2 linked regions of the Anolis sagrei genome follow. Each later gene encodes a partner of the first gene's protein in a complex. Links are inferred from orthologs where the notes say so. Each region holds a gene or a part of one and is shown on either strand. Other genes may lie near its edges. The genes, in order: SYK and TYROBP.

What was found.
Region 2: the proteins of SYK (region 1) and TYROBP are in contact, whole or in part, in a crystal structure (PDB 7Q5W), measured with the Homo sapiens proteins. The link is inferred for Anolis sagrei from reciprocal best matches to the Homo sapiens genes SYK and TYROBP. Residues at the interface, in NP_001167638.1 of Homo sapiens: Arg22, Arg42, Asn46, His62, His63, Tyr64, Thr65, Ile76, Ala77, Gly78, Gly79, His92, Asp97, Gly98, Leu99, Arg175, Arg195, Arg197, Lys212, Leu214, His215, Tyr216, Arg217, Ile228, Pro229, Glu230, Gly231, Lys232, His243, Lys247; in NP_003323.1 of Homo sapiens: Pro90, Tyr91, Gln92, Glu93, Leu94, Gln95, Arg98, Ser99, Asp100, Val101, Tyr102, Ser103, Asp104, Leu105, Asn106.

The regions. Positions count from the first base shown.
Region 1 is NC_090022.1:235,002,973-235,019,681, reverse strand, and holds the start of SYK (tyrosine-protein kinase SYK), read right to left. Parts: upstream 9,248-16,709; 5' UTR 9,147-9,247; intron 6,225-9,146; exon of another isoform or gene 5,826-6,224; intron 1-5,825. UniProt on the Homo sapiens protein: Non-receptor tyrosine kinase which mediates signal transduction downstream of a variety of transmembrane receptors including classical immunoreceptors like the B-cell receptor (BCR).
Region 2 is NC_090034.1:88,838,487-88,855,250, forward strand, and holds the start of TYROBP (TYRO protein tyrosine kinase-binding protein), read right to left. Parts: upstream 9,430-16,764; 5' UTR 9,267-9,429; coding exon 9,206-9,266; intron 1-9,205. UniProt on the Homo sapiens protein: Adapter protein which non-covalently associates with activating receptors found on the surface of a variety of immune cells to mediate signaling and cell activation following ligand binding by the receptors.

The sequences.
Region 1 (16,709 bases):
CCCCACAAATTTCTTCACAATATGACTTAAAGTACTAAAGCATATAAGGCAGAATAAAAGTAATCGAAGACAAAAGGCTTGCCTAAACCCACAAAAGATATGTAGCTGAAATGAAACATGACTACTTCCAGTGAGCATCCTGTTTTTTTTTGGGGTTTTTTTGCCATTAGTGCAACTTCAGGCAATGCCGAGGGATACTCTGAATTATGCAAGAAACTCCAGCGTATCCTGGGGCTTTGGGGATACCTGGAAAGCAAGAATGTTTGGCTTGATCCACTGTCAAGATGGACAGAACAACCATCAATCTTTCTCTGTACTGATCAATGCAGGGGAAGGGGATGACTCATCTCTGTGTTGTTACTGTCACTCTTTGCCGGCCAGAACACCTGGTTGTTGTGGTCAGCGCTGCACCTGCATGACCAGCAAGCAGAAGGGGATGCTATATCCCATCATCACTGATTGCTTATGCACCCCATTTTGACATTGGCAGAAACAACATGACTGTCAGATGCTCGCTGGGAAATTTGTGGCTGGCAAGGAGTGGTGGCATACGGATGGGCTGAACCCTCTGAAGCTCTGGTACGTGCACTTTTCATTAGTCCATGTTCAGAAAAATGTTTTTGCAAGAAGAAAAAGACTTCCAGTTTCGCCCATATTAATGTAGCTGTCACTACAATTTTGTCACTGACTACATAAGGAGATACATTAAGCTTTCATGCAATACGACCAGATAAAAATGACATAAGGACCATCTATATAATGTTCATCTTCAAATCACTTCTTTAGCATTCTCATTGTTTTATTGGCCTAACATTTGGTTCAAGTTTATTATTTATATTTGATTATAGAGTTTGCCTCACCATATGTAATCTTTTGTATTATAACTACAGAATAATGATATAGAGATGGGTTTTAAGCAACTTTTAATCTGAATATAAGTGATTTTAATGTTTGTATATATGTATGGTTTTATGTCCCAGATGTGAATATTTGCCGTATATTTGTTGTGCTCTGCCCTGAGTCCCCTGCGGGGTGAGAAGGGCGGAATATAAATGTTCTAAATAAATAAAAATAATAATAAAATGGCCACTACTTTATTAACAAAGAGGAATCTGCAATGCAGCAGCAAATGGAATAAGTAGCACGCCTGAAGGGAACTTTGGTTAAACCAAGCCTTCCCACAGTAGAAATCTTCCAGCAATTAGACACTTTTTACCTATATGCAGTACTTTGGTTGTGTTACAATTGAAACCACAATCCAACGATATAAACACATGCCTGAAATAAGTTGTGTAAATCTCTCTCTCTATATATATACACACACACATACATACATACACACACACACACACACACACACACACACACACACTGTATTTACTTGAATCTAATGCTCACCTTTTTTGGGCTACATTACCTTCCCAAAATTAGGACGTGCAGTAGATTCACGTAATATGGTAATCTGAGTCAAAGCAAAAGGGGAAGCTACTTCAGGAGCACCTGGAGCTCCTATTTCAGGGACACCATCTTGAATTTAATTGCCATGGTTCAATGCTATGCAATGCTGGGATTTGTAGTTTGGTGAGGCATCAGCACTTTTTGGCAGCTCCCATAATCCCAAACTAATCCCAGGTTCCACAAACCTACTGCATTGAGCCAGGGTGGTTAAAGTGGATTCATTCTATAGCATAGATGCACCCCAAGATTTTCTTTTCCATTGCTGAAAGCTTTGCTATTCTAACATGTTTGTTTCTCCTTCCCCAATGACATTAGATTGACTCCCCTATTCCTGTGTTTTAGAAAAAGAGTTGAGACCTGGCTTTGGGACCAGGCATTTGGGAATAATGTAATACAGTATTGATATGAATGCTGCAGCATGAAGGATGATGATGGATTTAGCAATATGGTTTAAACAGTTTTTTAATAGTTTTATTGTATTTATATGTTATTTGTTATTTGTTTAATGTGATATATTTTATACACTATGTATTCGCAATGTGCCACTGAAGTGGCTAAACTGTAAGCTGCTTTGAATCCCCTTCAGGATGAGAAGAGTGGGGGAAAATATAGGAAATAAATAATTTCAAAAGTAGGAATTCCAAGCATGCAGCCACTGTAATGTGCACCTTTTTTGGCTAAATTACATAGAGTGCACTTTTTGCCACTGTGCATTGCATTCACCAGCAAATACTTTTTTTTTTTGTTTCAGGGTTTTGAAAACTGAGGTGCACATTAGATTTGAGAAAATACAAGTAATATATGGTAAAAATGTATACTTAATTTTAAAGTTTATGAGTTAAAACACTGTCTGTAGTTTTATTTTAAACTACACAAAATTAATGAAAACAGTACTTGATATATTGTACTATTTGTGCAGTAAGATTTTTTAATTCTATAACATAACTTTAAAAATGTAAACAACTCATTGAGTTATAGCATCCTAAACACAGGAACTGCTAATTTGAAATGAAGACCATTAGCTACACTCTGTGAAAGCAAATCCTGTTAATATTATCCTTTTGTGTTTTCACAGATCAGAATATCACTCCAGGAAAATTCCCATGACCAAAAGAAAATACTGGAAGGGTTTGGTGGGCATGGACTTTGAGTTTTGAGTTGTAGTTCACCTACATCCAGAGAGCATTGTGAAACAATGATGGATCTGGACCAAACTTGGCACAAATGTTGGTATTATCAATGTTGGTATTAGTAATAGTAATAATAATAATAATTATAATAATGGCACTCAGATTTAAATGTATATCTGATTACAGCATATGGATATAACTTAGATTAACCATATGGAAATCAGCAGGACTACATTTACTATAACACTGTATATACCTGGATGTGGTAAAGTAGTTCAACTAAGCGTAAACAGATCTAAAAACAATAGTTGATGCTTCAACCACAATTTGTCTAAAGAATGAAGCCTGAAACCCCTTTACACCAGTGTTTGTCAACCTTCCTAATGCCACGACCCATTAATGCAGTTCCTCATTTTGTGGTGACCCCCAACCATAAAATTATTTTTGTTGCTACTTCATAACTTTAATCTGGCTACTGTTATGAATCATAATGCAAATATCTGATATGCAGGATGTATTTTCATTCACTGCACCAAATTTGGCACAGATAACGAATACACTTAGATTTGAATACTAGTGGGGGTTGGGGGGGGGGGTTGATTTTGTCATTTGGGAGTTGTAGTTGCTGGTATTTATAGTTAACCTACAATCAAAGAGCATTCTGAACTCCACTAAAGATGGAATTGAACCAAACTCGGCATACAGAACTCCCATGACCAACAGAAAATACTGGAAGGGTTTTGTAGGCATTGACCTTGAGTTTTGGAGTTGCAGTTCACCCAAATCCAGAGAGCACTGTGAATGGATCTGGACCAAACTTAGCACAAATACTCAATTGACATCCTCTCGCGACCCTTCTAGGGGTCTTGACCTGCAGGTTAGGAAACACAGCTTTACACTCTGCATAACTGAACTGAGTCTGCAAGACACCTGTTTACATGATTTAAACAATTTAACACAGTTTTAAAAGCTTTTTATGCCCACCTCCTGCATCAACATTATTTAAAACAACAACAATGTAACAACTAGCTTTAAGTTATAGGGAAGTTAAATCTTTTGCTCGCTATATTGTGAAACTCTAATTTACGGGCAAATTTAACTTCCCTAGAATTTAAAGCAAAGTGTATGTATCTCTTTGAGCGCTGGGGTATGACACTGGAAACCAGAGTTCAAATTCCCACTCAGCCACTGAAACCTGCTGTATAGGGAAGTCACACTCTGGGCCCTTTCGCACAGCCATATAACCCAGAATATCAAGGCAGATGTTCCATAATGTCTGCTTTGAACTGGATTATCTGAGTCCACACTGTCATATAATCCAGTTCAGTGTTGATTTTATAATGCTGTGTGGAAGGGGCCTTTCTCATCCTCAAAGGGAAGGCAAGAAAAAAGCCATTCTGAACAAATCTTGCCAAGAAAACCCCATAATATTTTCACTTGAAAGGACTCATAGGAAACTTTAGGGTTGGACAATTTTGGCAGGCCTTGCGTCAGTGTTATGTCCTTGGAAACCTCTGAGGAACGGGGAGCCTGGAGCATTTTTTGAGGTTGGGAATCAACCCAGACAGTTAGGTGGTATTATTATTATTATTATTATTATTATTATGTCTATTTATAACCCTGAAGGGGACTCAAGGTGGCTTACATATAGTCAATTATTCAATCCCTTAGAGCAGGGGTACTCAAACTAAGGCCCAGGAGCCGGATACGGCCCTCCAAGGTAATTTACTCGGCCCTCGCTCAAGGGTCAATCTAAGCCTGAAACGATTTGAAAGAACACAACAACAACAACAACAGCAATCCTATCTCATCAGCCAAAAGAAGCTCCACACTTTCCATTTAAATACTAATAAGTTTATACTTGTTAAAATTGTTCTTCATTTTAATTATTGTGTTGTTTTAAAGTATTTTTTGCATTACAAATGAGATATGTGCAGGGTTGTTGTAGGTTTTTCGGGCTGTGTGGCCATGTTCTGTGTGGCATTCTGTGTGGCATTCTCTCCTGACGTTTTGCCTGCATCTATGGCAGGCATCCTCAAAGGTTGTGAGGTCTATTGGAAACTAGGAAAATGGGGTTTATATATCTATGGAATGTCCAGTGTGCATAGGAATTTATTCATTTTTTTTCAAATTATAATCTGGCCCTCCAACAGTTTAAGGGACTGTGACCTGGCCCTCTGTTTAAAAAGTTTGAGGACCTCTGCCTTAGAGCAACATATAATTCTAATAAACATTAATATTAGCATGTAATTAAAGATTACTATATAATAAATATTTTAAAAACATTGCATTTAATATTTTTTAAAAAATGCCATCCATAATTGTAGTCCAGGGCCATTCCAATAGTAATTGCACATATTCCATATCTGTTATTGCACTTTAATATTCTAATAATACATGGGAGTGAATAATACATGCAGATCTGAGTAGGATGGCCTTTATCAGCTGATGGTTGATAATTTTGTCAGCGCAGATTGTTTTAAGTGCAGGTCAAGGTCTGTAGGCACTGCACCCAGTGTGCCAATCACCACTGGGACCACCTTTACTGGTTTGTGCCAGAGTCTTACAGAATTATGAGGTTTTTAGTTTAGGGAGGAGACTTTAACAGCCTCACTAAACCACACACCCCACTAAACTACAAACTTCCATCTTAACTTCAACACCTTCTATGATTCTTCCTTAGCAACAACAAAGCGTTGAAACAGTTCATAGTATAGAAACGCACCTGACTCTGTCTACATTGCCGAATTAACGCGGCTTGAGCCCACTTTAACCGCCAAGGCTTTAGGATTCTAAGTTTTCTAGTTGGGTGGGGCACTAACACTCGTTGTCAGACAAGAAACCATTACACCAGGCATGGGCCAACTTCGGCCCTCCAGGGGTTTTGGACTACAACTCCCACAATTCCTAACAGCCTACCGGCTGTTAGGAATTGTGGGAGTTGTAGTCCAAACCCCTGAAGGGCCGAAGTTGGCCCATGCCTGGTTTCTGGTGAAGGCGCAACTCTAGTCAGACTGTAGACACACGTCAAGGGCAACGCAACAAACACTTCCCTTCTACGCAGCCCCGTCCTTTCGTCTCTTTCGTGACATTTCCAACCGAGCTTATAGTATAGGCGTGCCTTGGGGTGACCCTAAAGTTCCCCACTTTGGCGACCACACAGTCAAGGAAAGCCTTTTCCCTCCTCTGCCCGCTCAGCCCCAGTTTCCCTAATTGGTCCCCTTGGGCTCTTCTTACCTGGTGGGAAAGGGAGAGGGGAAGCTCAAGGAAGCCAAGGGAGAGTCTCTCTCTCTCTCTCTCTTTTCCTCCTCCGTCCGCCTTGCGAGAAGAGAGCGCCAGCCACGGCTCCAAGTTTCTCCTGTGTCTGTCCTTCCCAGATCCAGCTCAGGAGCCCGACAAGACCCGTCTTCTGGCCCTGGGCTGCCTGCCCCACACTCGCTGCCCCCCGCCTCGGCCCCAAAGGCCGTTCAGGATGAGTGAAGCGCTCGCTTCCTCATTTTCTCTCCAGCGATTTCCTCAGCGCGTTGGGGTTTCAGCTGAGAGGCAGCAGCACTTCCTCGTCGGGCAAGGCGAGCCTCTCTCTCTCTGCCTGGCTTCCTCTGCTTCGGAGCCTTTCAAAAGGGGGAAGGAGGAGAGGCGAGAAAGGGAAGGCCTCTCGGGTCTGCACCTTCCTCAGTTTTCTGGGGGCTCACAGGGACAACCCCAAGGGTAGAATCATAGATACTACATGGGCCATCCAGTCCAATCTCCTGCTATGCAGGAAAAGCACAATCGATTCAGAGCACCCCCAACAGATGGACAGTCACCACCCAATCCTTCTGCAAGGCCAGAAATACAGCTTGATGGTTTAACATTAGAAAATGTTGACCATTTCCACTACCTTGGCAGCCACCTCTCCACACAAGTCAACATAGACACTGAAATACAACACCACCTGAGCTCTGCAAGTACAGCATGTTTCCAAATGAAGCAGAGAGTGTTTGAGATCCGGGGCATCCGTAGAGATACCAAGGCGCTAACCATGGTGGTCCCCACCTTAGTTACCTCTAGACTGGACTACTGCAATCAGGCAGTAGCCAGGGGGAGGGGGGGGGGGCTTGAGGGGTTTCAGCCCCCCCCCCCCAAATTCTCATGGTGGTTTGCGAAAAGGCCTTACTGGTGCATTATTTAAACTGTTATGTTTATTCATATCATGATCTGATCACCATACTCAATATATCCCATATGCATGGGGGTATTGGGGTAATGATACAAAAGGTTTTCTAGGGTAGACCCTCTTTCACTCAGACTCAGCCCCCCCCCCCGAAACTCAGCCCCCCGAACCCCCCCCTATCCCCCCCCCCAAAAAAACCCGATATCCTGGCTATGGACCAGACAGCCCGGAAACTTCAATTGGTCTAACATTCAGCAGCCAGACTAACTAGGGCGAATTACAGGGAGTGGTCAACCCCTGTGTTTAAGGAGCTCTATAGGCTGCCGTTCATTTTCCAGTCCCAATTCAAGGTGCAGGTTATCACCTATAAAGCCCTAACGGTTTGGGACCTGCCTGCCTTCGTGACCGCATCTCCTTCCACAACCTGCACGTTCCCTCCGATTCTCGAGGGAGGCCCTCCTCTCACCTCTTCCTCTATCACAGCCATGGCTTGGGGGAACGAGGGAGAGAGCCTTCTCCGCTGTGGCCACTCGGCTATGGAACTCAAACTCGATACCTGGTGAGATTAGGTAAGCCCCCACTCTAGCAGCCTTTAAGAAAGATCTAAAGACTTGGCTTTTCCGATGTGCCTTTGGAGAGTGACCATATATTCCAGTCCTGTTGTTTCACCTACACTGTTTCCCTCATATTGCACTTTCCCACACCTTCCCGACCACCATCTCCCAAAGCAATTGCTCTACTCCAAACTCAAGAATGGAAAATGGAATGTTGGACAAGAAAAGAGATTTAAAGATGGGCTCAAAGCCAACCTTAAAAACTCTGGCATAGACACTGAGAACTGGGAAGCCCTGGCCCTTGGGTGCTCCAGCTGGAGGTCAGCTGTGACCAGCAGTGCTGCAGAATTTGAAAAGGTACGAATGGAGGACGAAAGAGAGAAATGTGCCAAGAGGAAGGTGCATCAAGCCAACCCCGACCGGGACCATCTTCAACCTGCAAACCAATGCCCTCACTGCAGTAGAACATACAGGTCAAGAATAGGACTCTACAGTCATTTATGTACCCACCACCATCTATGTACCCACCACTGATCTTGGAAGACAATCTTACTCGGACAACAAGGGATTGCCTAAGTAAGTAACAAATAGACATCCAGCCTCTGTGTAAAAGCCTCCAAAGAAGAATCCTCCACCACAACTCTGGGGCAGAGAGTTCCACTGCTGAACAGCTCTCACAGTTAGGAAGTACTTCCTCATGTTCAGGTGGAATCTCCTTTCCTGTGTGTGGTGGAGACTCCTTCTTTGGAAGCTTTTAAACAGAGGCTGGATGGCCATCTGTCAGGGGTGCTTTGAATGCAATATTCCTGCTTCTAGGCAGGGGGTTGGACTGGATGGTCCATGAGGTCTCTTCCATCTCTATGATTCTGTGATTCTGATACAGAACATATGCCATGATTGGCAATAGGGAAGGAATGGCAGGCAGCGCAAAAAAAGTGGAAATAAATAAATAAGTACAGAGGAAGGAGGCTCACAGACCAGATTTTCGTCCTTATGGCCCACAGGTTAAGAACCACTGCTGTAGTTTGAAGCCATTGTTCTGCATCCTAGTCTCCAGGGAAACAGAAAACAAGCCTGCCCCTCCTCCCTATGACTTCCCCTCACATATTTATACATGGTCCTCATCATGTCTCCTTTCAGACTTGTCTTCTGCAGGCTAAACATACCCAGGTCTTTAAGCTACTCCTCATAGGGCTTGTTCTCCAGAATTTTGATCTTCTGGACACATTCCAGCTTATCGAATTGGACACTGTTTTCCAGATGTCCAGTTAGCTAGACATGATGTACAATGATAGTGAGTGGTAGGTTGGCCTTTTTCACCATTCCCACATTTCCTAGAAAAGGTAAGCTCTAATTCTGTACTCTCATAATCTTTGGATAATTTTCTATTATTTTCTGTTTAGATATGCAATTATTTTGTGGGGGGAAGGTAGAACCTAACAATCTATACAATCTTCACATTTGTGACATCTTCGTGCAAGAATACATGGTGTATGATAACAGATATAAGAGATGAAATATGGTGAAATATTTATTTTTCCATATTATTATAAAAGGTTGCAGGAAGGCATTGTCTGTGCTGTTGATGCTGTTTCTTTTATTTATTTATTTAGAAAAAGAACTGGAAAAGGAATCTGATTCAGTTATTAATTCCTCCTTAACTAAATGCTTATCTTTGTCCTTGTTAATTAGTAGATGTTCGCTAACTGAAATGAATAACATTATATTGATATGTCTGGAATCTCTGTGTCAACTACAGTGAATTCCCAGAGTATCAGGGCATTCCCAGCCACTCCTATGAAAGGGGTGTGTGGAAGAAAATGAAGAGTGGGTTGTGTAAGATCTACATACCTGTCATTTCCATGTTTCTCAATATGTAGAACTCCCATCCAGCAGGTTAGATCGGTTTCTTCCTTTGATGTTGTGTAAGAGTGACTAGAAAAGGAGGAGAGATATACAGGGAAGAAAGTCTTTGGGACACAGAGAGACTGAGAAACCAAATGCATATCTTTATATTTCGCTATGTCTGTAATGTAAATAATTGTTTCCACAGCTTAAAATACTATTCAGGTTTCGGCAATTTAACATTGTACACACAAATCATTCATGTGTAGAATGTATTTCCTATAGGGTTCTTCAAACATTCTTTTCCTTTTCTCTCTCTAATGCACAGATTTCATTGGCAACCCACAAACAGATGTTTCCCGTTACTATACCTAACCCAACCTCGCCCTTTTAGCATGAGCAACTTAGGTGATATACTCTAGTGACCACACAATATTACAGTTTTTGACATTTGAATTTCATCCACCATCACAATCTACTGTCTAAAACAGCCATGGGCAAACTTTTTTGCCTTGGGGATGCATTTTGGGCCCGGCTAGGAGGACCGGGTCAGGAGGGAGGGGCCAGATACATGCTAAATGGGAAGAGCCTGGGAAAGGGCAGGGCCAGAAGGGAGCAGGGCAGTGCCTGGGTCATCTTCAGGTTGTCCTCCCAGGGCTGTTCATCCCATCCTTAGTCTGGGAGACAGATGGAACACCAAATGACCGAAATGATCCTCCTCCTCATCCTCTGTCCTCTTGGCATTGTGCTGGGAAAGAGGGTGGGACAGGCAGTGGCTGAGTGTACTCTGGAAGGCTCTCAGCCACCGTGTGCCTTCCTCAAGATGTCCTCCTGGCATAAGAACACTTGCACTGCTCTTATGTCGGGAGGAGGGTGAGACACACAGTGACTGAGAGCACTCCAGAGGACTCTTAGCTGCTATGTGCCTTCTTCCCCATCTTTTTGGCAGAATGACGCAGTGGACCACCATGTCCTTATGTGAAGAGGACAGGGAAAATGAGGAGGGCCTGATGTAAGCACCCAGGGGGCCACATATGGACCTCGGGCAGTAGTTTGCCCATGCTTGATCTAAAATGTTGCGGTCTTTCCAATGCGACAAGATTAGAACCATTCCTCCACATTCAATGGGGTTAGGGGCATCCCATGAAAGTGAAAAAATACTAATAAAGATTTTTTTTTAAACCTGGGATAGCGCCATTCTACGTTTTTCTAGCTTTTCCAGCATGACTGAAGGAAGTTGACCACAGAGTCACCATGGAGGACCTAGAGGTTTCAAAAGAGAACATTTTTATCAAATTCATGAATAATAAAATACTCAAAACTGCAAACATGGAGGGACTACTGAAATTATAGTCAAGAAGACGTACCCTTTTTTGGGTTGAGTCCTACCATCTCAGAGTATGAAAGAAAACAAATGCATTGATTTTCAGTCTCTTGTAAACCTTCCGCACTAAAGAAACAACATGGCAAGTTGTTTGCACAGGGATGCTCATAAATCGCAAAGGATTATGTAGGTTCTTGGAGTGCTCTTTCACTGTACTGTTAATGCAGTTTGACATCATTTTAACAATCATGGCTCAATGCCATGGAATCATGGAAGTTGCAGTTTTACAAGCCTTTAGCTTTCTCTGCCAAATCGTGTTGGTTCCTTACTAAACATCACCTCCCATGATAATGGCTCTGCCTGGCATTTGCTCTCGGTGTGGCAGATTTTTTTCTATTGGGCCAGGGATAGTCAGGCTCTGACCGAACCCAGCTCCTAAGGCCCCTCATGCCATTGAAGATGTCAGAGGCCATCGTAAAGTCAAATGTTAGTTCTCATGGAAAATATGTCTCAATAATGTAATGTAATGACACATTAATTATTTCAAAATGTTATAATTCACCATGTAAACTGTTCTGAGATAGATGAGCTGATATATGTGCTGTTTTGAGCCATGAGCAGTAAATTAAAATTAAACAATGCACTACCATGGTATACTAAATATATACAGGGGAACTGCCAGCTGGTCCTGCTAAGTGGACCTTCTGGGGGACAAAAAGGGGGGCCCCTTCCCAGACCTTATTTTTTGAGCAGGCAGATAAGGCAGATATCTGACTTACCTGACTTGTGGTGACCCAAAGTGACCCTATTACAGGGCATTTTGGGGCTGAGAATGGGTGACCTACCCGAAGTCACCCAGGGGATTTCTATGGCCAAACAAGAAATCAACCCTTATCTCTGGAGTCACTCAAACTGCTACACTACAATACACTGGCTCTCAAAGGGGTTATTACCTGCAAATATATATTTAATTTTCTTTATTATATCCACACTTTATCCTTTAATAACAGACCGCTTTAATTTTTAAAAAGTTCTCAGTCCGACTGCTACTAAGTTCTGTACATGTTGCTGAAAATGGTTAGGAAGTGTTTCCTGATTCAGAATGCAACTGTTTGATTCCTATTGAAGATAGTCATAGGAAGCAGATACAGTAGAACCACTTTCTTTATTTCTATAAAAAATTTTTTGTCTGAAGCTAAACTGAGATGATACTACTGTGAGCTATACATCTCTGAATGTTTGGCCCCTCTCTAAGTTTTGGAATTCCACATACAGTAGTTCCCACTTATCCAAGAGATTTAGTGGATACCTGAAAAAGTGAATAGTGCTGAACCCCATATATGCTATATTTATTCCAATATATGGATATCTATGATAACATTTAAATTAACAAATAGGCATGGTAACAATAATAACAGCAATAACCTATAATAAAATAGAATAACTAAAATAATATGCTGTAATAAATTTTAGCACTGCAAAATTGTTTATTATTGTAGGTTAATTGGTTGTTGGTTTGATCATTGCTCTTATAGCTGTTATAATGTTGCTGCTATAATGTTATTTTATTCTGTTTTATGTTGTTTTTATATTTTAGTGTGTTATATTTTAACTATGTTTGTTTCGGGCTTGCCCCCATGTAAGCCGCCCTTATTATTATTAAGTAATAGAAACCTTCAGAACATCTTTTTGTGGTGTAATATTTCAGACTGTGATTAACTGCTAGTAACTGATATTGCAGAAGTCAAAAATTGTTACCTCCCAAATAGGCTACTGTAATACACTCTATGTATGGTTGCTTTTAAAGACTGTTCAGAAGCTTCAAGTGGTCCAATGGGTGGCAGCCAGATTTCTCACTGAAGTGGTGTACAGGGAGCATACAACCCCCTTGCTACGTCAGCTCCACTGGCTGCCAGTTTGCTGCTGAGCACAATTCACAGTGTTGACTTTAACCTATAAAGCCCTAAATGTTCTGACCCAGCTTATCTGTCCAAACGTATCTCCCTCTATGAACCATCCTGAGATTAAGATTGTCTGGGGAGGCCCTGCTCTCAGTCCCACCTCCTTCACAGGTGCAATTGGTGGGGACAAGAGACAGGGCTTCTCTGTGTTGGCTCCTCGGCTATGGAACTCCCTCCTCAGCGAAATCAGGTCAGCACCCTCCCTCCCTCAGAAAGCAAGTAAAAACATGGCTCAGGGGCCAAGCCTTTGGCCAATAGTGCAGTGAGATAAGTGAAGATGGAAAATTTGCAATAATCTCGCTGGGGAGCAAATTCCACAAGCAGGGGGTCACCACAGAGAAGGCTCTTGTCCCCACCAGACATGTTTGCGAGGCCGGTGGATCTTAAACTACGAGGCAGAACATAGAGGGAGATATGTTCGGACAAGTAAGCTGGGCCGGAGCCGTATAGGGCTTTATAGGCGAAGACCAGCATTTTAAATTGTGCTCAGAAATGGACCGGCAGCCAGTGGAGTTGACATAGCAGGGGGGTGATGTGCTCCCTGTATGGTGCTCCAGTGAGCAATCTGATTGCCACCCGTTGGACTAGTTGAAATTTCCGAACAGTCTTCAAAGGCAACTTCACGTAGAGTGTGTTGCAGTAAACTATTCGGGATGTAACCAGAGTGTTGACGACCGTGGCCAGATCAGATATAAATACAGTAAATAAATAATAAAATAAATAAACCTGCAGAGGAGACTAATAATAAGACTTTATATTCTGACTATTGTAGCTCTACCAATTCTTTGGGGGAAGACCTTGTCCTAACAGCTTTCACAACGTTTAGTAATAATAAAGTAAGTAAGTAATAATAATGTGCATAGCTAAAAAGCTTAGCATTGTAAAACCTAATTTAAAGATGAACTAATCACATAAATAATTTTATAACCAGACTACATCAATGTAAAGTAGGCAATGAGATAGAGTAAATAACCAGGTAAGAAGGAGTAAGCTCAATGGGCATTCATAGGCCTTTGAAACTATACCCTAAGGCAGCCTATTTAAATCCCAGGGGAAGCTCCTTTGAACGGCACATTTATAATTTGGTTAGACAAACATCGTATAATATCCTAAAGCTGTTTGGCCTGACTTTCTTTCATAGGGCTGTCTGATAATATCATCCTAAAACTGATGGGTTATCAGTTAAGAATATGAAATATAAACTATATTTATGTGACATTCCACGTCAAAAACAACATTCTAGATGAAATTCAATAGGTACAGTTGTGCTTGCCTATGTAGAATCTTTTCATTTTCTTATCTGTCCAATAATGTATGTATAGAAACAAGTTAAGAGAGGTAACTGACATGCTAGAGAAAACACCAAGTTAATAAGGAAAATTACATTGATTGTAATCAGACCTTGTAGTGCTTAAGGGCCTGATGAGAAAGGAAACTGCAAGTCTGCAAAGTGTCCAGCTAACGTAACCACATGCGAAAAAATGGCCCTGCTGTGGGCTTGCATCTTCCTTGCTCTGAGCATAAAAGTGTCTGTGTGGTTGCAGGCATTGATGTTGGGGTATGTGTGTGGGAGAAGAAGGGGCTATCAATAAAAAAATATGGTAAACATTGCATGCACATTCCAGCTAAAGCCAAAATGTAAGTCTCTTGGCACTCTGGCCACTGTTTCTTATTGTATCTTTCTCACAAACACCTGTTACTAGTGAACAGTTGCTAGTTTTTTCAAGTTTTGTATACTATTGTACTCGCAATTCTAAAAGATACAGTTGACTATTTACAAGTACAGTTAATAATAGAACTCTTACATTTGTTTTAGAGAAGTCATGGCATGAGGCCCCACTTTATTTATTTGCATTATCTTTTGCTTTGTGTCTTAGAATATAAAAGATATGAATAATTCTCAACAACCTTGCAATATGGAGGAAGAAAGCAATGTCAAAAGTGATATTAAAATATTTTCCAATGCCATTTTCATTATTTTCCCTTCTACTGCTTTGAATCTCCCTGCACAACAGTCTTATCCAATGTATTCTTAAGCCAAGTTTTTAAGCTCTAGCTTCCTGCAGCTTTCCAGAAGCTATAATACTTTGCATTTGCCTAGGTGTCTACACTGACCATATAATGCAGTTCCAAGCTACATTATAGGAAAGTGTAAATTCAGCTTCAGTTTGCAGCAACTAAAGCAAACCAAAGGTAAAAGTGGGAAGAGAAGAAACAGAGTTGGTTCAAAATTGAAGTACTCTATACTGGCTTAAATAAGAAATGGAGCTTCTAAAAGTCCATTTAGCTGTTTCTTTTTCTCCAAAGGTAAAGTAGGGATGGGATGAACTGATGGAAGAGGACTGAAAGCATGCATGGCATTTTGCCACTTAATCCAAATGAGGCTTTCAGTGCAGGTATTTAACTTAAATTTAAATGCCAATTAAACATAAACTCAATAATTGATTTTTTTTCCCTTCCCTCAAATGTCAGCAGATTTGATATGGGTTTTAAACTTATTAGTGGATTCTTCCAGATGGAGCAAATGTTGCTGATGGCTGCTGTATTTGTTGCTGTAGTCCTCAGGGATTGCTTTAAAAAGCCAACTAGACAACATTTATTCTCCATGCTATTCACTGGCAAATTCAGGCACCAGAAACAATATTGTATCTTTACCTGGACAATGGGTGAAGGGTTTAATTCCAGGATATATTACATCATCATCACCACCATCATCAACAACATCCCAAGAGACTTGTATGGTTCAATACTTGCAGTTCATATCAGGTTCCGTGGCTATTCCTTTTCCTTGCTGCTGTGAGGAGGGTGCACCAGACAGCCCCATACAGTTTATATAAAGGATCTATGGAATACTCTTTCTTTTAAAATAATCTACCAGATCTCACAAGATCCACAGCCAATAGGTATAATAGGAGCCTTAAGAGATCTGAATTGGTCAAGTTGCCTACAGTGTCCTGAGATCTTGATGATGACTGGTCCAATTGCTTATGATGTCATACAGCTTCTTTCATTTTCCCTCTCCCCTTTTACAATAGTAAAAAAGCTGAGAAGTTACGATGGACACTGAAGGAACTCAGGCTGGCAATTCCTAGCACCAAGTGCAGCATTCTTTTATGAGAGCTCCCACTCTTTTGTATGAGCCTGGTTGAAAAAAAAAAGAATGTACTAAACTTTTCCTGCTTTTATGTCTCAGGAGATTCATATATTTCCATTTACACAACAACAAAGAAAATACCTATAACAGAAAGTACATCGAGAAGCTGTATACTCAGTATATTCTGAGTACGAAATGGCTTGTAGGTTTACACAGGACATACATGGGCTAGCTCTCAAAGGAATGGACTTTGTTTCCAACAATAGAGAAAATAAACTTGTTCCTTTGCCTTTCTTTTGCAACCCAAATGCCTGATGACCAACAACTATGGTGGAGGATGTGACCTTTACTTGCATGTAACCACCTTCCATCACCATCATAAACTTGGCTTTGAGATCTCAAGAAGATACTTTGTGACCTGAATTTGACATATTTGTTCCCTTAAAATAATGTTTAGCATCCATCTCTGATTATATTTTGGATAGCTTGCATAATGTATGTTGCACCTTTTGGTATTCTTTGCTTAAAAACATCCCGAGGGCTGCCCTCAGTCAACAGGTGACTTGAAGGCACATAAACCAGAATTGACCAGCCCAAAGTAGTGTTCATTGAGTGGAAATTGCTCTGGTCCAATGTCTTTTTTCCAGAACAGAGGCATTGGTGCCCATATTACAATTGGAGGCAATGTTTCTGACAGTCATGAGTCAATTTTGGTTTATTGCAGCAATCCCCCCCCCCCCCACACCATCTTTATGAAGGCACACAAACACTCAATAAATGCATTGACATAATGTGATTTTGGGTTTTGCCTTATTTTAGCAGTCTATTTTAATGTAGAGAGCCAGCATGGTGTAGCAGTTTGTGTGTTGAACTATGACTTTTGAGATCAGGATTCAAGTCCCTGCTCAGTCACAGAAACCCACTGAACAACCTTGGACAATTCACACTCTATCAGCTTTAGAGGCAGGTCAAGGCAAATCCTCTCTGAGCAAATCTTGCCAAGAAAAAACCATGATAGTTTCATCTTAGGGTCTCCATAAGTCAGCAACAACTTGAAGGCACACACCATATATTATGTTTAGCTGTGGTAGAGACCCCGGGGCCTTAGTATTTGCCATCCAGCGTTGCTGCCTTGCTAGGCTTACCCATGAAGGAACCATTAGGCCAGCAGCCACACCTTATTATATCTA
Region 2 (16,764 bases), on another chromosome or scaffold:
TTTTTTTGCAGGGATGGATTAGTGGAGAATCTTACAATTGGTAAATGGACCATCAAAATGCCAATCAAAATATTGAATAATATTGTTTAAAAATAGCTTGGAAAAGTAACTAAAACAAATGTATGTATCACAGCAAACCCCCATCAAATTATCCCCATCAGTTATATTACATTTGTTTTTAATTAACTCACAACATCATCAATAAAAAAACATTGTTTGCAATGCTTTACTTTTGAACACTGCCCTCAGCATACCAAATAGGTATGTGGAAGCTAATTTCAGTTTTGTTGCGTTTCTCTGAATTCGGCCACCATTCTAATCTTGTCCTTTCTTCTATTGGGTTATCTGGCTTCTTTTCTTTTTGCCAGCAAGATTGTGAGGGTCCATCCAGACAGTACCTTTATCCCATGAAGTTCCATAGCAAACAGGAGGGTGACCAGACGCCATTCCTTGTAAATGCAAAAGCAATCACTAAAAAGTACGAGTGTTGAATGAAAAGTAATGCCTCCACCTTTGTAACTCCTCAACAGATGGCAGTACTGGTATGCGGCAGGTACTGGCTTGTTCAGTAGACCCTCCTCTACATCTCCATTTTGGTGGGAAGCCTCAGCATTGAACTGCTGTGTTGTTAAGGTGCGAAGTATAGAACCCTGTGCAGACGGTCGGTCGATGCGACTTAAGCAACATGCAGTCATTGAATTCCTGACAGCAGAAGGTGTCACCCCAAAGGAGATTCATCAGAGAATGCAAGCTGTTTATGGCGATTATGTTGATGTGAGTACTGTGTGTCATTGGGCGAGTAAGTTTAAAGATGTTGAGGTGGGAGCATCTGACTTGCGTGACAAACAAAGAGTTGGATGTTCTGTGACAGCAACCACCGAGTTCCACAAGCAAAAGTTTTACAGATTGATTCAGGACGATCATCGTATCACTCAGAGAGAAATTTCAAGCGACAAGAAAGTGTGGGTCACATTATTGCTTTGCTTGGCTATTGGAAGATCTGTGCACGATGGGTACCCAGGATGAGAGAACTGTGAGACGCTGGTTGCGAAAACAGAGTGTCAACTTTTTCTGTGACGACTTCAGAAAACTTGTTCATCCTTCGCAGAAATGTATCCAGTTGTCTGGTGATTAATGTGGAAAAGTGAATAATGGTAGTTAAAGGGCACATTCTAAGGATTATTTCTGCGTTTGATTTATTAAAATATTCCCATCCAAACCCAAGTAACGAAGGTGGAGGCATTACTTTTCATTCAACCCTTGTAAAAAAAAAACATATATACAAGATTTCCAGATGCAGGAATATCGTGATTTTGAGCTGAATATACGGATCTTCACATGTCTGGATGTCCCTGCAATTGGAAATCACTGGATTTTTGCATCTTAAGATTTTTTTAATGAAAAAAAAAACGCAGAAATTTCCGGTGGAAGTCCCATGGCAGCCATCTTGGGAGCCTCTAAATCTTGCAACAAAGTATCAAGTCTGGACAACGGAAGCAGAAATCCCAGGACCAACGAGTCTGTATGTGGACTTCTTCTGAAGTCTCGGGATTTTTTGCCCCTAGGTTTGGTCAGTCAATGCCTAGCAGGGCTTATATGATGATGGTAACGATTATGATGTTCCAGTTTTTCCACGGGACAGAAATTGCTAACAATTTAGTAAGCAACATAATGAAAAATATTGCCAAAACTTAATATTGAAATAGGATCAAAATAATTCAATTAAAATTCACTAATAATAATAATAATAATAATAATAAGAAGAAACCTCCATGGGGACTCAAGGTGGCTAATAATCCACATTAGACAAGTTTTAAAAATGCAAAATAAAAATTTAAAAACAATTAAATAGTAACAGTGTGGTAAAACAGAATTAAAATGCAGTAAACATAATAAATTGGTCTTTAAAACTCATATCCCCCCCCCCAATCCCACCCAACCTCCCTGGAGCCGGCTCCTTAAAGGTAAAGGTAGTCCCCTGACATTAAGTCCAGTCATGTCTGACTCTGGGTTGTGGTGCTCATCTCCATTTCTAAGCCGAAGAGCCAGAGTTTTCCGTAGACACCTCCAAGGTCATGTGGCCGGCATGACTGCATGGAGCGCCGTTACCTTCCCGCCGGAGTGGTACCTATTGATCTACTCACATTTGCATGTTTTCGAACTGCTAGGTTGGCAGAAGCTAGGGCTGACAGCGGAAGCTCACGCCGCTCCCCGGAATTGAACCTGCGACCTTTCGATCAACAAGCTCAGCAGCTCAGTGCTTTAATCCACTGCGCCACCGGGGGCCCCGGCTCCTTATCCTTCCAAAAATGCCTGTTGACTTGTTTGTGGAAGGCCAGCAGGGAAGGGGCCATTCTGGTCTCTCTTGGGAAGGAGTTCCACAGTCTGGGAGCAGCCACCGAAAAGTTTCTCTCCTGTGTTCCCATGAAATATGCTTGAGCAGGTGGTGGGACTGAGAGAAGGCCCTCTCCAGTAGATTGTACTTTGTGACTGCATTTTCCCCTATGAACCGGTGCGGATCCTAAGATCTGCCGGGAAGGGCCTTGTCTCACTCCCACCACTGTCACAAGCATGGTTGGGGGGGACGAGGACAAGAGAGGGGGAGCTTCTCAGTGGTGGCCCCCTGGCTCTGGAACACCCTCCTCAGGGAGATTAGGCTAGCACCCACTCTGTCTATTTTCTGCAGGGACCTCAAAACATGGACGTTCCAATGTGCATTTGACAATGGTTGGATCTCTTTCCATGAATTGACCATTAGACTAAATTCAGCACTTTATTTCCAGTCCTGGCCAGGGGCGGCTCAACCCATTACGCAAAGTAAGCATTCACAGTATAGTTGATTTTGCCCAGGGGCGCTCTTGAGGCGCTCTTGGGGGGAAATAGACCTTGACATATGCGAGTTGTAGTCACTGGGATGTATAGTTCATCTAAAATCAAAGAGCATTCTGGACTCCACCAATGATGGAATTGAACCAAATATGGCACACAGAACTCCCATGACAAACAGAAAATATATATCAATGACTGTTTGGGGCGGGGCACCAAAATACTGTTTGCTTACCATTGAAAATTACCTAGGGCCGCCTCTGGTCCTGGCCCTATAATTTACTTTTTGTACAGGCCCATGCCCAGCCCTCTCTAATTCTTGATTGGCTCTGGTTATTGAGGTTTGCTTTGATTCATTTTAATGATTTTTTAAATACTCTACTGTTTTTAATTGTTTAATTAGAATATTATAAAAAATAACAATCTTTATATGTTTTTATAACAATTTTTAAATGTATTTTTATTTGATTAACTCTGTTGTTGCTGGGCTTGGTCCCGCTTGTAAGCTTCCCTGAGTCCCTTTGGGGAGATGGTAATGGGATATAAAAATAAAGTTATTATTATTATTATTATTATTATTATTATTATTATTATTATTATCATCATCGTAGATGTCTCCCAGGTTCATAGAAAGAGATGCGGTCCCTCAGATAACCTGAACCGAAGCCATATTGGGCTTTGTAGGTCAAAACATGTTTACGAGCACTTTGAATTGTGCTCGGAAACATGTTAGCAGTCAGTGGAGATGTTGCAACAGAGGAGTTGTATGCTTCCTGTAGCCAGGCCCAGTTAGCAGTCTGGCTGCTGCTCTCTGGACCAACTGAAGTTTCTGAGCACATTTCAAAGGGGCCCCCCACATAGAGTGCATTACAGTAGTCCAACTGGTATGTAACCAAGGCATGTACCACCATGGCCATATCTGACTTCTCGAGGAATGGGCGCAGTTGGCGCACTAGCTTTAACAGGTATCAGCACTCCTAGTCACTGCTGATATTTGGGCCTCCAGGTTTAGAGCCAAATCCAGGAGTACTCCCAAACTGCAAACCTGCATTTTCAGGGAGTGTAACCCTATTTAACAAAGGCCGACTCCCTACTCCCAGATCTGCCTTACAACTGACCAGGAGTACCTCTGTCTTGTCTAGATTATGCTTCAGTTTGTTTGCTCTCATCCAGTCCGTTACAGCTGCCAGGCATCGGTAAGCACAGGACCCTCTTCCTTAGAATTAGGTGGGAAAGAGTGATAGAGTTGGGTGTCATCTGCGTATTGATGGCACTGCACTCAAAAACTCTGGATGACCTATTCCAGCAGTTTCATGTACTTGTTGAACAGCATGGGGGGCAGCACAGAGCCCTGAGGGGCCCCATAAGCCAGGGGCCAATGAGTCGAACAGAAGTCCCCCAGCACCACCTTCTGAGAACTTCCCTCCAGGAAGGAACGGAGCCACTGAAGAACAATACCAAGCCCCATCCCAGAAAGGTGACTCAGAAGGATACCATGGTTGATGCTATCAAAAGCTGCTGAAAGGTCCAGGAGAACCAACAGAGACACACTCCCCTGTTTAGTTCTCTGCATTGGTCATCCACCATAGTGACCAAAGCTGTCTCTGTTCCACAACCAAGCCTGAAAGAAATGGATCTAGGTAATCTGTTTCATCTAGGAACTCTTGGAGGTGTGAAGCCACCACTCACTCCAGAATCTTGCCTAAAATGGGAAGTTAGAGACTGGTCTGTAATTGTCCAGTACCAAGAAGTCTACCACCCTGGTCATTTCCCCATGTAATTAAAATAATAATTTAAAAGGTATTTAGTATTCCCAGTCCATTTCTGTTTTAAAAGCCTATCTGAATAAATAGGTTTTGGCCTGAAATTGGAAGTATAAGGAGGAGGTGGGGGGCATTCAGATTCCTTTGGAAAAGGAATTTCAGGTGCAAACCCCAAGGTGTCTCTTGTTTTTCCCCAATTGTGCTTGTGATTGTGGTGGGACTGAGAGAAAGGGGCTCTTAAGATCTCAGGGCTGGCTCATAAATTTCTCCATGCTTTCAAAACCAAGAGACAACAAGGTGTCTCTTGTTTTTCCCCAATTGTGCTTGTGATTGTGGTGGGACTGAGAGAAAAGGGCTCTTAAGATCTCAGGGCTGGCTCATAAATTTCTCCATGCTTTCAAAAACAGCTTCAGCTAAGGATAGTGTGTCTCATCTGAATGAATTCCTGGATGAGGGCTGGATGTGGAAAAACAAACTGAAACTGAATTCAGACAAAACAGACATGCTTGTCATCAAGGGTCCTAACCTGAGGATGGAGGTGTGTCAACCAGTTCTGGATGGGGTTACAGTCCCCTGAAAGACTGTGTTCGCAGCTTGGGAATTCCTGGATCTGTCCCTCCAAATGTCAGCCCAGGGAGATGCAATGGTCAGGAGTGCTTACTACCAGCTTCAGCTGATCCACCAGCTGCACCCCTTCCTAGATTTGGAAGATCCAAAGATGGTGGGACACGCATTGGTAACCTCAAGGTTGGACTTCTGCAATGTGCTTTACATTGGGCTACCATTGAACCAAACTCCAGCTGGTTCAAAATACAGTTGCTAGATTGGTTACGGGAACATCCAGGAGTGAACATATCACATCTATCCTAAAGTCACTCCACAGGCTGCCAATAAGTTTAGGAACCCTAGCATGCCACTCAAGATTATGATTTGATGTTTGTTGAACCCAAACATAATAACAGAATCATAGAATCATAGAGTCGGAAGATACCTCGTGGGCCATACAGTCCAACGTCCTGCCAAGAAGCAGGACAAACACATTCAAAGCACCCCCAACAGATGGCCATCCAGCCTCTGTTTAAAAGCCTCAATAGAAGGAGCCTCCACCACACTTCGGGATAGAGAGTTCCACTGCTGAACAACTCTCATAGTTAGGAAGTTCTTCCTAATGTTCAGGTGGAATCTCCTTTCTTGCAGTTTGAAGCCATTGCTCCGCATCCAGGCTCCCAGGCAGCAGAAAACAAGTTTGCTCCCTCCTCCCCATGACTTCCCCTCACATATTTATACATGGCTATCATGTCTCCTTTCAGTCTTCTCTTCTGCAGGTTAAACATGCCCAGCTTTTTAAACTTCTCCTCAAAGGGCTTGTTCTCCAGACACTTGATCATTTTAGTTGCCCTCCTCTGGACACATTCCAGCATATCAACATCTCTCTTCAATTGTGATGCCCAGAACTGAACACAGTATTCCAGGTGTGGTCTAACCAAGGCATCCCATTCTTAAGTAATCTCAAGTAAATCGTGCATTTAGAGCTTATTTGATTATGGAAAAGCCACTTTACACAATTACAACCCACACTTCAAAAGCAAAGATAGTTTTTTGTGATAGGAGTTACAAGGCCTAGATCCTGGTGGCTAGATCAGAAAAGAGGGAGTGGGTGCTGAGGATTATAGCTTGGTGTTGGGCTGACCTTGCAGATAATTTTCCCATTCTTTGCTCAGTAGCTCAAGGAAACCCTGGATTTTGAGCCTAGTTGATAATGAAAAGACTTTGACACACCATAAGATTACAACTCATAGTTGAAAAGCCAAGATGATTTTTCACAACACCTCTTCTCTGATACCAGGGTGCTTTTCCTTGCTTGTCTCATGTCTTTCTACAAAAGCAGGGATTCCCCTTCCTGCTATCTCAATTGGGAAATAGATGATCAGTTATCCTTCCCACCTATCTCAGTTTTTAATGCTGAGGTGTGAATTGTGTAGCTCTCCAAAACATGGTGAATTATATCAACCATATTATTGGGATGATGAATCTATGCTAGGTTAAACCAAACGACCACAGTAGTAACGTGAAGTGCTGAACTCTGTTTCTACTTTAGGTTAATCACTTTTGATAATGTTTTGAATAAAACAAGGACTGGATTCACCACTTTGTTGGCACAGAGGGGGTGTCATCATATTTCCAGATTTTGTCAAACTACAACTCCCACTGGCTAAGTTAATTATGGCTAGTGGAAGCTGTAGACCCACAATCTCTGATGCCTTCATGATTCCAACCACTGTCCCAAAGCCAATCTATGAAAGACAATGGAAGGAGGGAGAGGGAAAGCTGGCAAAGGAGGCCATCTACATCTGAGATGGCTTGATTTTGATCCATTCCTGCTTGTGACATCATTTCATCTAGTCCAAAAATGAGAGTTATGTTGGCCTTCAAGCGTGGTTAAGCTGACTCTCCCAGCATCCTTAGGAAGTATAGCCAACACTGATAAATGCTGTGTTATAGTCTACTAACATCTGTTGGAAGGCTGTACAATTCCCAACCATCATTTAGTGGACTGAGTCTAGCACAGTGGTTCTCAACCTGTGGGTTCCCAGATATTTTGGCCTTCAACTCCTAACATCTGGTAAACCGGCTGGGATTTCTGGGAGTTCTAAGCCAAAACCCTGGGGACCCACAGGTTGAGAACCACTGTTCTAGCGGGACTCTCAATGTTTGGAGATATGGAGCAGGGAAGAAGGAACAGGATATTAGGTCTTGTAGAAAAATGCATCTAGAACCCCGCAGTTTCATAACATGTCCATTTCACTCAAATTAGACTTTTTTAGATCCCCAGTTGAACCCGATTCATGCTACTAAGGAGTGGAGAGACAGTGACTGTGAAAGGAGACCCCTCCATGATGTCTCATCATGGTTTAGATGGCAGTTGATCATTTGGTCCACAAAGGTGTAATTCTCTGTCAGAGATGTCTAGTTCTGTGGTTTGAGTTAACGGACTAGAGCACTGGAAGAGAGGTCCTAAATACCTCACAAAATTACAAAACCTAAGATTTTGCAGGAGAGGTTGAGAGCAGAATCGTACTGGTACAACTACGCAGAGCAGATACAATTGTTGCTTGCTACAATGGGCACCAAGGAGCCTACAGGTTTTCAGAAAATGGTTTTTCCTTTCCATCATTGGCTACCCAAAGCCTATTGGGAGCAAACACAGGATCTAAAAAGAAAGATTACAGGTTGACCAAAAATCCAAAATAAGGCCAAAGGAGTAGAGGTTGACCATAAGGCCAAAATGAGGTAAAGCCATGGTAACGGAAAACTATGGTAATGGAAAAATATTCTGAATGAAGGAAAAAATTAGAAGCAGAGTCAGCAATGCTATGAAAAAGCAAATTAACCATTACAACAATGTTGTTGTTGTTGGTAATGGTTATATGTTACTAAAATATTCTGATAATGGTAACATGGTGATATTACCAAAATAGTCTGGTAATGTAACATATCATCATCTCTACGTGGGACTACCTCTGAAGACTGCCCAGAAGCTTCAATTAGTCCAACTGTCGGCAGCCAGGTTGCTCACCGGAGCAGTGTACAGGGAACATACAACCCCTCTGTAACGCCAGCTCCACTGGCTGCCGATTAGCTCCCGAGCACAATTCAAAGTGCTGGTTTTAACCTTTAAAGCCCATTACGGTTCTGCCCAACCTACCTGTCTGAACGTATCTCCTGTTACGAACCATCGCAAAGTTTAAGATCATCTGGAGAGGCCCTGCTCTTGGTCCCACCACCCTTGCAAACGCAATTGGTGGGGATGAGGGAAAGGGCCTTCTCAGCAGTGGCCCCCCATCTGTGGAACTCTCTCCTTAGAGACATCAGACTGGCCACCTCCCTCCTGTCTTTCAGAAATAAACTTAAGACTTGGCTATGGGACCAGGCATTCAACTAGTGATTAGCAGCAAATGGAAAGTCAACCTAGGCAACCCATGACAATGAATTGGCCAGACTTGGATTTGGTTTCTAACTGGCATGTTTAATCAATTGTTTTCCATTAATTGTTTTGTTTTTAATGTATTGGCTGAATGTGTTTTTTGATTGTTTTATGATGGTAATGCATCTTATGATGCTTGTTGTGAGGTCGCCCTGAGTGTCCGTCCCTCCCCGGGGGGTGAGAAGGATGGGGTAGAAGTATAGGAAATAAAATAAATAAACTACTACTTTCTACTCTTCACAGCAACAATCTGAAATATCAGAAGGTTCAACCTAAACTGTTTTTGCATAGAGCTTGCTTAATACATGGTTTTCTATTATGGCCTATGATTTATATTTCAATGACTGATGTTTAATTTTCTAATTCATGGTCCCATGATCATACTTCCTCACACTTTTGTTAACTCCTACCTTCCCACGCTACCCATTGTTCCCTAATTTTTAATTTCGAAACATTCAATTCCAATGCTTAAAAACACAAATAGGCAAATATAACTATTCAAGACAAAACACAAAGAAATAGCTATTCAATGGCCAATCTTAGATATAGGGAAGTGATGGGGGCTTAGGGAAAAATCCAAAATTGAAAAAGGAGACCAAAGATTGAGGAAGAAGTGTTTGATTCAACTCACCCAGCTGTGCCCAAACCAAGTCCAGGAGAATATAGAGGATTGGGATTCTTAGTTGGTCCATCACAAAGGCTCTCAAACCAGGTTTAGAGCCAATACTCAAAATGTCTCTGGTTAAGGAAGACCTGATGTTGTGCTTCCAAAAGTCTGGGAATCCTGGACCTGTGAGACAGGAATAGTATCCTGCTGAAGAACAAGACTGAAGAAATAGAAATAGCTCTGGGCAGGAAACCTCAAAAAGAGGAAGGGAGATGTCATGGGGTAAGATCAGATGGTGGCCAGTGTCGTACTTCCCCAGCGGAAGTGAGTCCAGATTCAGAAATAAAAGGCATAAAAGGCTCCTAATAATAGTTCGTCCATTACACCACCCTAGTAATCGATGATCATTTTGTCTGGTTTGTGTTTCCACACAAAAAAACTATTTTCTTTTAGTAAGGCAAATATGGAAGAAAGCAAAATTGACAGGCTCATTAATCTGTGAGTGTTTGACTGTTAACATCAGTGGCCGAATCTCTGCATATATAACCATATTTGTAATGCTGAATCATAGAGTTGGAAGGAACCAGAAGTACTATGAATGGGAAAAAATGTAGTTAGGTGGGAAGACAATGACTGAGGCTCTGAACCAAACAAAACATTTTCCTCTCTTTCTTTGGGGTGCTACCTGTTTCCCAGCTGAGCTAAGCCTGAGATCAGTAGTGAGTGGACTGATCAGGCTCCTTAGTGTTGATGTTTTGTCTCCATAGTACTCAAGATTTCATTCTCCCTGGGGCCACCACTGCTGCCTTCCCAGCCTCCCTTCCTGTTCATGCACTTTTGGCACAATCCTACCAATTGCTTGCTCTGAAGTCCAGCATCCAAATGCTTTGATCAGAACAAGACATCCAACCATGTGATCTCAATGGTGAGGTATTGCCCCAATCAACCTTCTCATTATTGACCTTTTGGCTAGTTTTGGCTGGGAACGGAGCAACAAATTCAAGGAGAAGGGAAAAAGTTGATTTGATTTGAATTCAGACATGACTATCAATACAATCTGAGTACAATCTATATATGTATATAAATGCTCTGTGCATAATGAGTACCTTAAAAACAAAAGAACCAATGAACGAAATCACACCAAATTTTGCAACAAAACGCCTCACAACACCAGGAGTGACCATCACTCAAAAAATATTATTTTGTCATTTGGGTGTTGTAGTTGCTGGGATTTATAGTTCACCTACAATCAAAGAGCATTCTGAACTCGATCAAGGATGGAATTGAACCAAACCTGGCACACAGAACTCCCATGACCAACAGACAACACTAGAAGGGTTTGGTGGGCATTGACCTTGAGTTTGGGAGTTGTAGTTCACTTACATCCAGAGAGTATCTGGGCCAAACTTGGCACAAGCACTCAATACGCCCAAATATGAACACAGATGGAGTTTGGGGGAAATAGACCTTGACATTTGGGAGTTGTAGTCACTGGGATTCACAGTTCACCTACAATCAAAGAGCATTCTGAACCCCACGAATGACAGAATCGGGGTAAACTTCCCATACAGTACTCCCATGTCCAACAGAAAATACTTAAGGCCATCCAATCCAACTCCCTTCATCAGGGCAAGAAAATGTAATCAAAGACATCCTGACAAAGGACCGTCCTGACAAAGGACAAAGGACCATAGATATAGATAGATATATATTATTCTCACACAGAGAGATACAGTATCATAGATTTGAATGGGACCCTTAAAGAAAGACAATTATATGTTGCATGTTCCAGAGCAGGCAAACCAGACACTTTCCACACCAACACTGACAAAGAAACAGCAAAAAATACTGTTTACCCACAAGCACAAAGAAATTACATATATTAGAAACCAACACTTTCTCATTACTTTATTTTCCAGATCAACAGACTGGGCCACAGCAACGTGTGGCAGGGGACCGCTAGTACGTTATAAGTACCAACGGGGTGAATTTAGGGCAGCTTTTAATGCAGAATACTGATTTATTTCCTGGTGTCTTTTCTTCTTTCTTCTTTCTTAGGTGATCCCTCATTGTCCGAGTATGATGGCCTTCCAATTGCAATGTCTTGGTGGTGGATAGGTAGGTAGCCTAATTCTTGACCCGCATGTTCTTCCACACTGAGGGGATCGGTTTCCTGGTAGAAGGCGGTCCTGGTCAGGGTTGGCTTGACCTGTCTTCCTCTTAGCACATTTCTCCCTTTCACCTTCCATTTGTGCCTCTTTGAATTCTGCAGCACTGCTGGTCATAGCCGACCTCGAGTTACAGCTCTTATTTATTTATTTATTTACGGCATTTCTAGCCCGCCTTTCTCAGCCCTAATGCGACTCAAGGAGGGTTACAGATGGCTAACAATCCAATGCCAAACATTTATAAAAGATACAATTAAAAACATTCAACACAGCACTATGAAAACCATATAAAACCCATTAAAAACATAAAATCACCAGAGTCGTCCTGTTAAACTCATCGTCTAGTAACATCATTGGGTCATTCCAAGTTCATTCTTCATAGTTTCATGTTCATCCATTATGCTGCATTTTCAAAAGCTTGTTCGAAGAGCCAAGTTTTTTACTTTTTTTTAAGTCAGGAGGGAGGGGGTGATCTAATATCCCTAGGGAGGGAATTCCACAGCTGAGGGCTCAAGGGCTAGGTGTATATGCCACAGTTTTTAATGTTGGCTTTAAGTCCATCTTTAAATCTCTTTTCCTGTCCCCCAACATTACATTTTCCATTTTTGAGTTGGGAGTACTGTAACTGTTTTGGAAGATGGTGATTGGGCATTTGGACAATGTGGCCAGTCCAGTGGAGTTGATGGCGTAGGAGCATCACTTCATTACTGGTGGTCTTTGCTTCTTCCAGCATGCTGACATTTGTCTGCCTGTCTTCCCGAGAGATTTACAGGATTTTTCGGAGGCAACACTGATGGAATCATTCCAGGAGTTGCGTCTGACGTCTGTAGACAGTCCATGTTTCACAGGCGTATAGCAGGGTTGGGAAGACAATAGCTCAAGGGCCAGGGCTTCCCAGTTCTTGATGTCTATGCCACAGTTTTTAAGCTTGGCTTTAAATCCATCTTTAAATCTCTTTTCTTGTCTACCAACATTGCGTTTTCCGTTTTGAGTTGGGAGTATAGTAACTGCTTTTGGAAACAGTGATTGGGAATTCAGACAACGTGCCCAGTCCAGCGGAGTTAATGATGTAGGAGTATCACTTCAGTTCTGGTGGTCTTTGCTTCTTCCAGCCTGCTGACATTTGTCTGCCTACCTCTCCAAGAGATTTACAGGATTTTTCAGAGGCAACACTGATGGAATCGTTCCAGGAGTTGCATCTGACGTCTGTAGACAGGCCATGTTTCACAGGCGTATAGCAGGGTTGGGAAGACAATAGCTTTATAAGCTTTACTAGCTGACCCCTGCCACACGTTGCTGTGGTCCAGTCTGGTGATCTGGAAAATAGTGTTGGTTTCTAATATATGTAATTTCTTTATGCTTGTGGGTAAACAGTATTTCTCATCAGTGTTGATGTAGAGATTGTCTGGTTTGCCTACTCTGGAACATGCAACATATCATTGTCCTTTTTTAGAGGTTCCTTTGAAACCTATGATACTATTTCTGGAATATATGTGTGCGTGTGTGAATCCTATCTATTTATCTATATCTATGGCTGGATGGCTCTTTCTCAGGAGGGCTTTGATTATGTTTTCTTGCTCCGATGAAGGGAGTTGTATTGGATGGCCTTAAGGCAGCATTTCTCAACCTGGGGGTCGGGACCCCTGGGGGGTGGTCACGAGAGGGTGTCAGAAGGGTCACCAAAGTCCACCAGAAAACACAGTATTTTCTGTTGGTCATGGCGGTTCTGTATGGAAGGTTTGGCCCAATTCTCTCGTTGGTCGGGTTCAGAATGCTCTTTGATTGTGGGTGAACTATAACTCCCAGTAACTACAACTCCCAAATGTCAAGGTCTAGTTCCCCCATACTCCATCATATTTCAGCATATGGAGTATTTGTGCCAAGTTTGGTCTAGATCCTTCATTGTTTGAGTCCACAGTGCCCTCTGGATGAAGGTGAACTACAACTCCAAAACTCAAGGTCAATGTCCACCAAACAATTCTAGTGGTTTCTGTTGATCATGGGAGTTCTGTGTGCCAAGTTTGGTTCAATTCCATCATCAGTGGAGTTCAGAATGCTCTTTGATTGTAGGTTAACTATAAATCCCAGCAACTACAACTCCCAAATGACAAAACCAATTTTTTTGAGTGATGGTCAGTCCTTGGGGTAGTAGGTGTCTTGTGGCCAAATTTGGTGGCAATTGGTCCAGCGGTTTTTGAGCTATGATGTCACTCACTATGCACAGAGCATATATATATAATTTATTTATTTTATTTACATCACTTATATCCCGCCCATATCAGCCCGCAGGCGACTCAGGGTGGTCTACATTTTGGCACAATTCGATGCCATCAATACAACAGCAAAAACAATTAAGTGCATTTAGACAAAAAAGACAGTGCAATAACAATTTAAAAAGAGCTATATCCTCTCAATCCAATCCTCATCCGTTTCATCGTCTTGGCCGTTCCTGGGTCATTCTCCATCTCAAGCTTGACTATTCCGGGGTTCCGAATGCCTGCTCGAAGAGCCAGGTTTTCACTCTCTTACGAAAGGTCAGGAGGGAGGGGGCTGATTTAATATCCCTAGGCAGGGAGTTCCACAGCCGAGGGGCCACCACAGAGAAGGCCCTGTCTCTCGTCCCCGCCAAGCGTGCTTGCGAAGCAGACGGGATCGAGAGCAGGGCCTCCTCAGATGATCTTAACTTCCTGGAGGGTTCGTAGGAAGAGATGCGTTCGGATAGGTAGGCTAGGCCAGAACCGTTTAGGGCTTTATAGGCTAAAGCCAGCACTTTGAATTGGGCCCGGTAGCAAACTGGCAGCCAGTGGAGCTGGCGCAGCAGAGGAGTTGTGTGCTCCCTGAGCGCCGCTCCTGTTAGCAACTTGGCTGCTGCACGCTGGACCATTTGAAGCTTCCGGGCCGTCTTCAAAGGCAACCCCACGTAGAGCGCGTTGCAGTAATCTATGCGGGATGTAACCAGAGCGTGGACTACCGTGGCAAAGTCAGACTTCCCAAGGTACGGGCGCAACTGGCGCACAAGTTTTAGTTGTGCAAATGCTCCCCTGGTCACCGCCGAAACCTGGGGTTTCAGGCTCAGCGATGAATCCAGGATCACACCCAAGCTGCGAACCTGCGTCTTCAGGGGGAGTGTAACCCCATCTAACACAGGCTGTAACCCTATGCCCTGTTTGGCCTTTTGACTGACCAGGAGTGCCTCTGTCTTGTCTGGATTCAGTTTCAATTTGTTAGCCCTCATCTAGTCCGATACAGCGGCCAAGCACCAGTTCAGGACCTGAACAGCCTCCTTAGTAGTAGGTGGGAAGGAGTGACAGAGTTGGACATCATCTGCGTACAGATAACACCGCACCCCGAAACTCCGGATGATCTCCCCCAGCGGCTTCATGTAGATGTTAAACAACATGGGGGACAGTATAGAACCCTGCGGGACCCCACAAGACAATGGTTGTGAGGTCGAGCAGTTGTCCCCCAGCAACACCTTCTGGGTACGATCCTCTAGGAAGGTCCGGAGCCACTGCAGAACAGTTCCTCCAAGGCCCATTCCCGCGAGGCGTCCCAGAAGGATACCGTGGTCGACGGTATCGAAGGCCGCTGAGAGGTCCAGCAGAACCAACAGGGACACACTCCCCCTGTCTAGCTAAAGCTTTCCTGGTGTGGATAGCCTCTAAAAAGGAGGACCATATTTGTATTTTTTAAAATATATATATTACAAATAGACTAAGGAACGGGTATTCAGGAAAGAATTAAGGAAACAAGTGATATAAAGTGGGGAGACAGAGGGAAAAGAATCTTTGCAAAACAATAAGAAATGGCTCATTGCGGAGCCTACCCATTTTTGTTTTTGCCACATGGGCAGGCTTTAACAATGAAGATGAAGCACTTTGATTACAGCACAGAAATTATCTTTGCTGTTCTTCTTTTGGCTCATTGGGCAAGAACAACATTTAGGGAATGCTAAAATTTGCTAGTCAAGAATCAACTGTACTCTGGCACCTCAAGGAACAGGGCCAGAGACACATGGATTAACAGTATTGTCAGCCAACATTTATTATAGTCAGGTCTGAAGCACTCATGCTGAGATAAAATTTACAGACAGTCATATTCTGAATGGCTGTATGACACTTTCCAGCTGGTGGTGGCAGGCAGGGGGTTGCTTTCCTCTTTCTTGCGAAACAGCAAGGGAGATTGATTAGCTGGGCAGACCAGTTTCAGAGCTGGAAGCCAGTTCTTTCAAGCAAGGAAAGGGGACTTTTGATCATGATAATAAATGAGAGCAGACAACGGGCCACCTTAATGAGGGCTGCATGGAATTACTTGTCTGCTATAATTCTGTCAGCATATTGAGATGTGTCCAAACAGGTATCATGAAGGACTTTTCTGCTGTTATAGTGAGCTTAGCTGAGCATTGTCTGACCCACTCTTGTAGACTTACTTACTACTTACTTACTTAGGAAATCCCTTGTAGCCTGAGGATGATGATCCTTCAAGTGTAGTGTCTTGGCAGAGGGTCCATAGGTGGCTGTGGAGCCCTATTCTTGATCCGCATGTTCTCCCACAGTGAGGACATCAGTTTCCAGATGGAAGGCGGTCCCAGTCAGGGTTGGCTTGATGCACCTTCCTCTTGGCACATTTTCCCCTTTTGCCCTCTATTCATGCCTCTTTGAATTCTGCAGCACTGCTGGTCATAGCTGACCTCCAATTAGAGTGCTTAAGGGCCAGGGCTTCCCATTTCTCAGCATCTATGTCACTGAGAAAATTTTTAAAGACAGCTTTAAGCCCATCTTTAAATCACTTTACCAACTTTCTGTTTCCCATTCTTGAGTTGGGAGTATAGTATCTGCTTTGAGAGACAGTGATCAGGCATTCGGACAATGTGGCCAGTTCTGCGAAGTTGATGGCACAGGAGCATCATGTCATTGCTGATGGTCTTTGCTTCTTCCAGCACATTGACACTTGTCCTTCTGTCTTCCCAAGAGATTTGCAGGATTTTTCGGAGGCAACACTGATGGAATCGTTCCAGGAGTTGAGTGTGACATCTGTAGACAGTCCACGTTTCACAGGTGTATAGCAGGGTTGGGAGGACAATAGCTTTATAAACAAGCATCTTGGTATCCCTATGGATGTCCTGATCCTCAAATATCTCTGCTTCATTTGGAAAAAGGCTGCACTCACAGAGCTCTGATCCACTCTTGTAGAACTGAGTTTGGTATTCGCATTGGAAAGCATCAGCAATGGGTGTTTGCTTACTGAGACATCTGCTAATCTAAGGACCAAACAATTTAATATTGACATTAACACTTTAATGGCCGAATTGGGCTGTGGCTGGGATGCTGTACTATTCATTTTAATGGTAATTAGTGCTGTATTTTGGAGCCCCAGTGTGCAGAGGGTTAAACCGCTGAGCTGCTGAACTTGCTG